Arabidopsis thaliana: one gene and its partner. The protein of the gene in region 1 interacts with the protein of each later gene in a pairwise test. Each region holds a gene or a part of one and is shown on either strand. Other genes may lie near its edges.

The links.
Region 2: the proteins of AGG3 (region 1) and XLG2 come close enough for resonance energy transfer, tested with the Arabidopsis thaliana proteins (one study listed by BioGRID).

Annotation. Positions count from the first base shown.
Region 1 is NC_003076.8:6,978,433-6,983,914, forward strand, and holds AGG3 (guanine nucleotide-binding protein subunit gamma), read right to left. Parts: upstream 3,732-5,482; 5' UTR 3,336-3,731; coding exon 3,141-3,335; intron 2,974-3,140; exon of another isoform or gene 1,848-2,973; coding exon of another isoform or gene 1,806-1,847; coding exon 1,753-1,805; intron 1,678-1,752; coding exon 1,633-1,677; intron 1,533-1,632; coding exon 1,488-1,532; intron 1,300-1,487; coding exon 882-1,299; 3' UTR 725-881; downstream 1-724. UniProt on the Arabidopsis thaliana protein: Guanine nucleotide-binding proteins (G proteins) are involved as a modulator or transducer in various transmembrane signaling systems.
Region 2 is NC_003075.7:16,439,086-16,445,563, forward strand, and holds XLG2 (extra-large GTP-binding protein 2), read left to right. Parts: upstream 1-2,000; 5' UTR 2,001-2,493; coding exon 2,494-3,534; intron 3,535-3,627; coding exon 3,628-3,765; intron 3,766-3,857; coding exon 3,858-3,962; intron 3,963-4,044; coding exon 4,045-4,203; intron 4,204-4,283; coding exon 4,284-4,431; intron 4,432-4,544; coding exon 4,545-4,780; intron 4,781-4,888; coding exon 4,889-5,052; intron 5,053-5,160; coding exon 5,161-5,755; 3' UTR 5,756-5,921; downstream 5,922-6,478. Other genes in the region: AT4G34380 (Transducin/WD40 repeat-like superfamily protein), read left to right, coding at 1-1,237; AT4G34400 (AP2/B3-like transcriptional factor family protein), read left to right, coding at 6,238-6,324. UniProt on the Arabidopsis thaliana protein: Guanine nucleotide-binding proteins (G proteins) are involved as modulators or transducers in various transmembrane signaling systems. Binds GTP with specificity. Plays a role in the root morphogenesis by regulation of the cell proliferation.

The DNA of each region.
Region 1 (5,482 bases):
TCAGACTACTACTATAACCCAGTGAGGAAATCGATTTTATTGCTTAACCTATCTAACTTTAAATGCAAGTAATTACAGGTTGATCCATAATTAATTACCAAATTGTAGTCATTTCTTGCCTTTATCCATTTTACCTTAGCTATTGAAGAAAATGGAGTTTCGTAAAGAAACAAAATTACGAAAAGTTTGAAAATTGAGCTGTATGCTGACACTAGGAACATGTCTCGTTTTATTTACCTGTATATGATTTTTTTTTTGAATTTTTAACTGCGAAATGGATTGTAAATTCTTGACATAATAACAACTATTCTATATTTCTATATATTTATATTTCTATCCATATTTCACCACATTTCACATCTGCTAAAATTTCTTTCACCGGGTAGCTATTGTTCGAACTAAAGCCGTAATTACTAGTCAATGTGCAAAGTGTGGTTTTACACATGATCCGCTGCAAATTAACAAATAAAAAAATTGGTGTGTTTTAAACAATTAAAATGAGAAATTTACACGTGATTATGGTCCATATATAACTCGTATACTAAGATAGGCCACTAATTTTTTTTCCCTATTATTGAGCCGGTCGAACATCAGAGTTGTGTGATTGCTTTGTATCTTTTTTCTTCGTTTTTTACACATAGTTTGTGTACATACTTTACATTAGTATCCCACGGCTAAAACCCAAAAAAAAAAAACATATCCCATGACAGACTCGCTTGATAGTTGATAGTAATCATCATTCATCACTTACAAAAAGACAAAAATATTCACAATTTTATTACAAAATCAAGAAAGTGTTGCTTCCTTTAAGAGATTAAGAAAAAATTTGAACAAAAAATAGAGGAAACAGCTATAATGATTATAATAATAATAAAGTTTAATTAGAAAGCTAAACAACAAGGATTAGAACATAGATTTTTACAATTGCAAAAACAACAAGAACAAAGTCGTACCTTGGGACAACTAAAACAAGATGACCATCTGATCTTGCAGTTGCAGCTGCAGCATGAGCTCTTCTTTTTATTCAGACACGACGGTCGAGTGCAACTGCAACTGCGGAAACAGCTGGGAATGCAGCAAGACATGTCCGGACAAGAACACCAGCAACCTCGGAAGCATGAACAGCTCGGGCAGCTTAGTCTCGGGCAACAACAAATGTTTGAGCAGCATGACCCGTCACAGCATTTGGACCCTATACAGCTGCAAGATGTACAGTTGCAGCACTTGGGTTTCCTCAGATGGCACGAACATTTGGATTGGCAGCAACAGCAGAAACTCACCAGGCTCAAACATGGGCCACTGCATTGAGTTAATTAATTAGTATCACTTTATTCAGATAGCTACACATATCAGTAATTCTAGCAAAATCTAAGATTAAAAGCATTGGCTAAAAACATTTCTTACTAGTTGAGGTCTTATGCAAATTTTATATAAAATTGCGAAAATAAAATATTTTCAAAATATAATGTTCCAATTTAAATGCTTACCAGAGCCACTTCCAGAACCGGAAGGATCTTCGACTTTTTCGTTGTCTATTTATATGAGAAGACAAAAACAGCACAACGGAATTGTAAGAGCGGGCAAAGTACGAGAAAAGTGTGAAGTCATTGAGTGAACTAGAAATACGCTTACGCAGGGATCAATGGGTCAGAATTTGCAACAACAAAATCAGAGACTCTGCCACAACAAAATATTTCTTTTATCAATAAACCAAACTGATAAAAACTGATAGAATGTTTTTAAAACACTCACTCTTTGATGCATCTAGATGCCGGTTGTACGCCTTCGATGAATTTAATTTCGCCCTGATCATAACGACATTCGAAATATTGGTTAAGAAACATCATTTCATTAATCAACCAAATTGTATTTGCTTGGTTAAAAAAAGAGAAGATCTAAATTAAGTAGACACTAATGGGACAAAACAAGAATTGCATATTAAACTAAACATATACAGTGTAAAAAATAATTTAATTACAACCAATTATATGCACTATAGAAAAAGTAATCATAGAGGGGGAAATGAGAAAGCAACATGAGGAAAAAGGTGACCAAGAATTGGTCCTTTCAAACGCAGATAGCAATAAAGACAAAAGCTTTCACAAAAATTGATTGATATGGCAAAGCAAAACAAAACAAAATCAGCAATGGAAGCTAACCAAATTCAATATATTTTTTAGATCTTTCCCTACTTTGCTTCTAATGCTTTTCTTCTTTATCTTTATGTATTTTTCCCTTTAATACTCTCTTTGACTAAGCACTCACTTTCATAGTACACATGCACGAACACATTAGGCCTCAGTGATGCAAACAACTGAGTAAATGGGCGTCTCATCGGTCACTTCACACTACAACATGATCACATTTTTTTTTTTTACCTTTAACATTTTTTTTACTTTTTTTTTTTTATGTATCCTTAATTTTAAAACAGAATGTAACTACTAACAATATTCTATAACCCAAAAAAAATCCTGATTAACGAAAAGCATAGGAACCCAATTAATTTAGTTTTTAAAGAATAGATCCGTTGAAACTCCCTCAACTAACAAAAAAATTACTAAGAGAAATGATTCAAATTAATTTTCAATTAAGAAAACATGCATTAGTTTAAGTGGTTAAAGCCCTTGTTGGCATATCATAGTACTAGTTTGAATTTAATTAGATATAGAAATAGAGAAATGTGTCTGATGACAGAAATTAATAATTCTTTTTGGGAGCATCAAAGAGAACAAATATAAATTAAATGTCTTGGGTTTCTATAATTGCTGTCAAAACATAACACAACGGTCCAGAGTCCAAACCAACCTGGATATAGTAGGGACCAAGTTTTAACACTCTTTTCTCACAACAACCAAAAATCAAATAGTACTACAACTGGATTATTTAGTTATACAAGAGAGGTTAATTAGCATTAATTAATTTACTAATCAGAAACTAATACTAGTACCAATTTTTTTTGAAAAAGAGAGAGTAATAATAATAAAAACAAAGGAGTGATGAAATTCAAAATATTGGGACACTTCCTCAGAGTAATCAAAAATGGCACAGATTTTATGAATAAAATAAGAATGAAAAGGACTGTTTTTAAAATAGTAGTAGTAGTAGTAATAAAATAAAAGTATTGAGAGAGAGAGACTTGCCTCGAGAAAACCAATCTCTCTCTCGAGCATCTGAACTCTCGCCGCCTCTCTGCGTTTCCCGTACAAATCTGGATACTCTGGTGGAGACTTAGGACGAGGCGGTGGTAGAGACGACGGAGCAAGAGACGATGAACTCACTCCACCAGCAGCTGATTCTTTTCCTCCTCCTTCGCCACCGCCAGAAGGAGCAGACATTTTCGGAGAGAAATGGTTTGGAGTGTCTCAAGAGAGAAACATGCAGTGGTGTTATTACTTAGGAGAGAAGTGAACCAGAAGAAGAGAAGAGGAAGCGGCGAGTGAGTGAGAAAAACAATGCAAAGAAGAAAGAAAAAGAGAAAGAGAGAGAGATGAGTGTGTAGTAGTAGAGAGGAAGAGAGAGAGGTGGGTGGCAGAGGAAGTAATTATAGCATCTGACAAGGATTATTACTTACCTTCCTCTGCCCCTTTTAAGGCTCCGTGTCTCTGTTTTTTTTAAAACCTTAATTATATTTTTAATCTTTAGGCTTTTTATTTAAACAACAAAAAATAATTCTTATTTAATGCAACTTTTTAAAGACAATAATGTTTTTTTTTTTACTAATTCATTAAATTTACACAGTATCTTGATTATGATTTTGGATGGTAAAACAATGAGCACTTAAAAGTATCTCAATAGATGCAAAATGGAGTTCTCATTATTGGTTCTCTTAAAAAAGAGTTGAAAAATAAATCAAAATGGATTAAAAGAGAGAGAGAGCTGTCTCTTTTGAGAGAGTTTTTGAGAGAGATGAGAGACGATGATGTGGTGCCTTATCATTGGTTAATTGTTTTTAACAAAAAAAGCAAAAAAAGCGTGAAAGCTTCTCCTGATTCTATCTTGATCATTGTTTCTAATCATGTCGATGTTTTGACTTACATTGCTTGGAAACTCTCTAATTTTCAGGTGAATCGAGTTCTTGGATCTGGTATACTAATCTTCTCGGTTCCGATTCTTAATCGCAGATCATCTCGATGTTAATGCTCTAGATGTAAAGGTCAGCTTCTATCTAAATTAGGGATTTGTGTAATAAAGCTGTGCTTTTTTTGGTTATAGACTGCGATTAAGGAGTGATTAGCTTGCTTTTATATGGTTTAGTCATTAGTGTGATAAAAATCTATGCTTCTGTTGTTTAATACTGCAGCTACAGAAGTGTCGAAGAGTTTCACATAGACTTTCATCTCAACTACTTATGGTTTTTTGCCTTATTCGTTTTCAGGTTATCTTTGTGTGAAGAAGTTGCAGGTTTGGTTTGAAAAATTGCAGCTTTTAATTTTTTGAGTTATAGATTGCAGGTTTTGGTGAACTAATTTGCATGTTTTGGTTTGAGAAATTGCAGGTTTCTGCAAGGTTTGGTTTAAGAATACGAAGCAGCACTACCTTCTTTCCAATAACTGAAAGATAGTGAAGATGGAGGTTGAGTTGTAGGTTTCATGAGTTGCAAGTGTTTAATGAGTTACAGTTTTTTCTTATCAATGATTTGAGACTTTGAGTAGTTGCAGGTTTTCAATTTGAGACTTTGAATTCATGTATCAATATTCCAGTTTGTTTTCTGCAATGTTTCAGCCATATCTTAACAAAGTTTAAAATCTTGAGATAGTTCTTTGTGAGGCAGAGGAAATTATTTCAACTCAGATATTATCAGATGCAAAGATGACAACTAATCTCTCCCTAGAGACCGACCATATCATGATTTTATTACACTAATTGGTTGTTTAACAACAAAATCAACTGAAATTTTCACACTATTACAACAATTTCAACATCAAACATTTCAACATTTCAATTTCAAAATCAATAGAATTTTTTTCCCTGAGAACTCCACAAAGAGAGATTACCATTGGACTTTACAAAATTAAAAAAAATAACATAAGTTCTCATCTCTTCAAATTCAAAATTTTATTCTTAAAAAAATGGTGAGAACCCAATAGAGGGCTCTCACTATTGGAGATGCTCTAATGATACTATAATTCTGATTCGAAATTGCATAACTCAAGATATGTTGGAAAAGCTAGTCACTTTTACTATGTGCAAGAATGAGATAGTTAAGTTTCAAATAATGTTTTAGCTTCAAGTTACATCTACCTAGACATGTTATACAGGTAAAATAAAATAAACATGTTATGTAGGTAAATAAAACAAAACAACAGTTTACTATATGTTTTTATAAGAAAAAATAACTATATGATCTCATATGGAATCTGAATCTATTTCTCGATTATTTTTGAGTTTTTTTTTTTAATTTTAAATCAAGGCATATGCGCAAAAAAAAAAATTGTATTTGTTATATTATGATAAGACCGGACAAAAAAATTAGAATGAGAGC
Region 2 (6,478 bases), on another chromosome or scaffold:
CGGAGAAGGTTCTCCTTGCGTAATGTCGCCTTGGGCCCGCGTGTCGCCTCCTTGGGGTGCAGATTTCAACGAAGACAATGTCCTCGAGACCAACGGTCTCATTGGATCTATTGTTAGAAAAGAAGGGCATATATACTCGCTAGCCGCTTCTGGTGACCTTCTCTACACGGGCTCGGATTCGAAGAACATTAGGGTTTGGAAGAATTTGAAGGAACACGCTGGGTTTAAATCCAGTAGTGGGCTAATCAAGGCCATTGTGATATTCGGAGACCGAATCTTTACCGGCCATCAAGACGGGAAGATCCGGATTTGGAAGGTTTCGAAGAGAAAACCAGGAAAACATAAGCGGGTTGGAACATTGCCAACATTTAAATCAATGGTCAAGAGCTCCGTCAACCCTAAGCATTTCATGGAGGTACGCCGCAACAGAAACTCTGTGAAGACGAAGCATAACGACGCAGTGTCTAGTCTTAGCTTGGACGTGGAGCTTGGATTGTTGTACTCGAGTTCTTGGGACACGACAATCAAAGTGTGGAGAATCGCGGATTCAAAATGTTTGGAATCGATACATGCACACGATGACGCGATAAACTCTGTAATGTCCGGTTTTGATGACTTGGTGTTCACGGGATCCGCAGATGGTACTGTTAAAGTGTGGAAACGTGAGTTGCAAGGCAAAGGAACAAAACATACGTTAGCTCAAGTTTTGCTCAAGCAAGAAAATGCGGTCACGGCGTTGGCCGTAAAATCACAATCTTCCATCGTATATTGCGGTTCTTCGGACGGGCTAGTGAACTATTGGGAGCGTTCAAAGCGGTCATTCACAGGCGGAATACTCAAAGGCCACAAATCCGCAGTGCTTTGTCTAGGTATAGCGGGGAACTTGCTGTTGAGTGGTTCCGCCGACAAGAACATATGCGTATGGAGGCGGGACCCGTCTGACAAGTCCCATCAGTGTCTCTCTGTTTTGACGGGACACATGGGGCCGGTCAAGTGCCTAGCCGTGGAGGAGGAACGGGCTTGTCATCAGGGAGCAAAAGCCTCAGTGGCCGAGGGAGACCGGAAGTGGATTATATACAGCGGAAGTTTGGACAAGTCGGTGAAAGTGTGGCGCGTGTCGGAGAGAATGGCCACGTGGAAGGAGATGGACGAGCCAGCAGCATCTTCAGAGCGGAAGAGCTCTTCGTCTCCGCATGAAGGAAGTGGCGCGTGGAGTTCACGCAATGTGGAAAAATAAGAGTGGAGGAGCATAGTGTGATTATTTACGAGAGTGTCACGTCGTCACGAGAGCCATATTCACGCCGGGAAAGAGACAGAGGATTGATTTCATTTTTATGACTAAGTCAACGGAGAGGTTTGTGCCACGCTAGCTGGTGTGAGAATCAAAGTCGGGTTAATGGTTTTCACGTAATGAGTTTTTTGGTTATTTTTTTCTTTAAAAAAAATGTTTGAAACGAAATTGAATTATTTATTTATTTTCCATAAATTTGTAAGATAACAAGAACAAAGACCGAATCAAACATATATATTTGTTTTCTTTAGTGGTCTATGTCGTGGTTGCAACTTTATAACTTGGAATTTTGGATGAGTCGTTTTCCTCTTCATTAGAATTAGTCTTTCTATATTATTATAATATAGGATGTTGATATTTTTTAATTGATTTTCCAACCTGGAAATATCCACCCAAAGTTGTTAGAAATTACTAATCTTTGTGAATTTACTGTTACCATTTAAACCTAATCTATCTTTATGAGCAAAAAAAAAAAAGTCTTATTCAATCACTTAACCGAAAACATTTCCACAACCGGGATCATCATATATGTCTCTGCGCCTCTCTTTGATAAATACTTAAATAGGGTCAACACCTCCGGTTTTCTATTAACCGTGTAATTCGGGTTATGCGAACATTATTGCAGGACCGAAGATATATTTACGAAATTGCCCTCTCTCTTTGACTCCATCAACGCCTTTCGCAACGCATCGTTTTCAACTCCCCTAACCCGCGTTGACGGCAAGAATTTTCCCGGAAAATAACTCATTTTTCCTTTTGATTGCAGAGAAAATAAAAAACAAAGAGAAAGTCTTCCCCTTTTTTTGTCAAGTCCTCGTCTTTTACTAGTGTATACGATCCAACCCATCTTTCTGTCTTTCTTCTTTTTGTTTACTTCTTCTGCAAATTCCCTTTTCCCGGAAAATTTATTTGCTGATTTTTCTTCCTTCCATCGCCACTTTCCTGGAAAAAAAAACTAAATTTCGTCTCTTTCTTTAAGCTAAAGGAGCTTTCTGTGATCAATTTTTTCTATATTTCTGTAGTTGCGTTCTTATTTCACGCGCTTTGTGATTTGATTATTTAAGCCACTAATGGCTTAGGATCTGTATATTATCACTTCATGAATTCTCGTTTTCTCGGATAAGTTGTTAAGTTTCTAAATTAGGGAATTTTAGGAATTAGGGCTTTTTTGGGTTTGTATGTGTGCTTGATTGGGTAAGAAGATGGCTGCAGTTATAAGAAAGTTATTACCTTTCCCATCACCGAATCCTAAAAGGGATAATCGAGAAAGTGACGATGATGATGAAACAAGTAGTGGCTATCGAATCGAATATTCATTCGCCAGTGAGTATAAAGGTCCTCTTATTGCTAATGTGCCACGAGCTCTTCCCGTTGAAGTTGATCAGATTCCTACGGCTCTTCCCGTTTCCTTTTCTTCCTTGCGGAGTGGTATCTCTTACCCAGTGGCACCTCTCGTTATGACTAAGGATACCAAGAGACCACCTGATTCTGGAATAGAGAAGAAGAACGGTTTCGTTGACTCTGCAGCTGGTTCTAGTGTGGTTTTGATAGGGCGTGATGTTGTTTCTGGCTCATCATCATCATCATCATCAAAGAGGTTGGATGTACCAGAAGAAGTGAAAAGTCCTGCTGATTTTCGGTTATCACCATCATCACCATTGTCTGCATCAGCGAGAGAGGAGGATCACTTAGATGATGACAGAGTTTCGGATGTGGGACCTAGAGCAGTGAGATTCGTTGAACCTTTTCAGAGTAGTGAATGTGATGAGAGCTCCTATGTTTCTGATGGAGAAAGTATAGCTGCAACGCATAGAGCTGAAAGGAAAGGTAAAAGAGGATCGTGTTACCGGTGCCAGTTGGGGAACCGGTTTACTGAGAAGGAAGTCTGTATTGTCTGCGATGCCAAATACTGTTTCAACTGTGTGCGCAGAGCCATGGGTGCGATGCCCGAAGGAAGAAAGTGTCAAGCTTGCATTGGTTATAGGATTGATGAGTCCAAGAGAGCAAGTCTCGGAAAGTGTTCAAGAATGCTCAAGCGCCATCTCACGGATTCTGAACTTCGACAAGTCATGAATGCCGAGATCACCTGCAAGGCGAATCAATTGCCTTCACGACTTATCATTGTCAATGACAAGCCTTTAAGTGAAGATGAGCTTTACACGTTGCAGACATGTCCAAATCCACCCAAGAAGCTAAAACCCGGACACTATTGGTATGATAAGGTTGCTGGCTACTGGGGAAAGGTACAGTTTCTTATATATGTCTGCGTATCTATTATCGGGATTGTATTTTGAGTGCTCAGCTAAATCAGAGCCTCTATGTGTTTATTTAATCAGATAGGAGAGAAACCTAGTCAGATTATAAGTCCTAACAACAGCATAGGAGGATACATCAGTGAGAAAGTAAGCAATGGAGACACTGAAATTTATATTAATGGCCGGGAAATAACCAAGCCAGAGCTCACGATGCTCAAGGTTCTTTTGCTTTTCACCTTTGTTTTGGATAACAAATATGCTTAGTGTATGTGTCATTGTTCTGAACTGAGCGCTTCTTTGCTTTGATGTAGTGGGCGGGGGTGCAATGTGAAGGAAAACCTCATTTTTGGGTCGATTCAGATGGTTCTTACCGAGAAGAAGGTCAAAAGCATCCCATCGGGAACATCTGGAGTAAGGTATGGTTTCCTGATCACCAGCTTTTCTCGTTCACAACATTAAATATAAAACTAAAGACAACGAAGGATATTATTTTTACAGAAGAGAGCAAAAATTGCTTGCGCTGTGTTCTCTCTGCCAGTTCCTCCGGCTTCGTCTGCAGTAGAACCATATGATGTGCCCTTATATGAGCAGAAGATGCTTAACAAGCTTCTTTTGATTGGTAGCGAAAAAGGTGGCGCCACTACAATTTACAAACAAGTGAGCTATTCATCTTAATGCCTCCCACTTGAATGTTTCACATCTAGTAAAGAATCGGGAATTGACTTCTTCTGTTTCAGGCAAGGTCTCTCTACAACGTCTCATTCTCTTTAGAAGACCGTGAAAGAATCAAATTCATAATCCAAACAAATCTCTATACCTATCTGGCAATGGTTCTTGAGGCACATGAAAGATTTGAAAAAGAGATGAGCAATGACCAGTCTTCAGGTAATTATTATTGACTGTACAAACTATTAGAATAAGAATGCATTCATATTCTAATACAAACATCAGTTAACAATTGATTATTGAGGAAGACTGATCGAGTTCTTGGGATTTAGGCAATGTGGGAGATGAAACCAGTGCAAAACCAGGTAACTCGATCAACCCGAGACTAAAACATTTTTCAGATTGGGTTTTGAAAGAAAAGGAAGACGGAAACCTGAAGATATTTCCACCATCAAGCCGTGAGAATGCTCAAACCGTTGCAGATCTCTGGAGAGTACCAGCTATTCAAGCCACCTACAAAAGACTTCGCGATACACTTCCCAGGAACGCCGTTTATTTTCTTGAAAGAGTAAGTTTACATCAAGTTGCCTGCTTGCATATATAAACGCTCTTTCAGGACCTTAACACTTTTGTTTAAGGGGAAAAAGATGACTGACCCAAATTTGTTTCTTCTCAGATTCTTGAGATCTCGAGATCAGAATACGATCCTTCTGATATGGACATATTGCAAGCGGAAGGACTCTCCTCTATGGAAGGACTTTCTTGTGTGGACTTCTCATTCCCATCAACTTCTCAAGAAGAGTCTCTTGAGAGCGATTATCAACATGATACAGACATGAAGTTAGTTCTGTTCTTTTTCCTTGTGTTGCATTCCGGCTATATGAAAAACCGTTGAACTTACCCTCTCTCTCTCTCTCTCTCTCTCTCTCTCTCTCTCTCTCTCTTTAGGTACCAACTCATCCGGCTAAATCCGAGAAGCCTTGGTGAAAACTGGAAATTGCTGGAAATGTTTGAAGACGCTGACTTGGTGATATTTTGTGTCTCACTAACAGACTATGCAGAAAACATAGAAGACGGTGAGGGGAATATTGTGAACAAGATGCTTGCAACCAAACAGCTTTTCGAGAACATGGTGACTCACCCGAGCCTAGCTAACAAAAGGTTTCTTTTGGTTCTAACCAAATTTGATCTCCTAGAAGAAAAGATCGAAGAGGTTCCTCTAAGAACCTGTGAGTGGTTTGAAGACTTCAACCCATTGATCAGCCAGAACCAGACGAGCAGACACAACCCTCCAATGGCTCAGCGTGCTTTCCATTACATTGGATATAAGTTCAAGAGACTCTATGACTCAATCTTGGAACCCGTAAATATGCGTGGAAGGAGCTTTAAGCCAAAATTGTTTGTTTGTCAAGTGAGCTTGGAGAGTGATACTGTGGACAATGCACTGAGGTATGCGAGAGAGATTCTCAAGTGGCATGTTGAAGAAACTTCCATGTTCCAAGAGATGTCTACTACTAGCATAGAGGCCAGCTCGTCCTCTTGATATTTTTTCCTAAAATTCTTTCTTTCTTTGTGGAAATTACATAAGTTTGTTTCTCTCTCTGTGTGTATGTTTGTTGTATATGTAGTAGTGTGAAGATACATTCATGTGATTGATTTTTCAGGGGAAAAAAAATAGAGAAATAATAAAGTGAATTTTCCCGGTTTAACAGACATTTACTTATACGGTTATTGAGGTTGAACTGGACCGGAGTAGCAATAAATTATCGGTTCAGTTTGGGAGATCAAACCGTTTAAAAGAAAATAATTTGAAATGGCCACGCAGAATACGAGGGTCTGAGGATTGTACCTCCTTTCTCTGCAAAAACTTAAACGTTGATTTGACTCAAGCGTCAAGGTAAGGTACTCTCTCTTCATACAACATTTTAGCTTTACTTTTTCTCTTTACTCTTCTCTCTCTCTTTCTCTTTCTCTTTCTCTTTCACTCGTTCTCTCTCACTCACTCTCTTCACACACAGATCCAAGATGGCCTCTTCAATGGCTAGCAATGATTTCCAGCTCCCTCCACGTTTCTTCACTGTTTTCGTCTCCCATTTCAGCTCAGAGTTCATGGTAAGATTTTCTCTCGAGGTTTCTTCTTTCAGGTTTATCTGTTCATGAGCAAACGATTCTTGAACTGGGTAGATTCTCTTAGCCTAGTGGTTTCTTTGAACTATGTCTGATGGTTTTTATGAAACAAACACTGTGTTTATCTGCATTTAGCTTC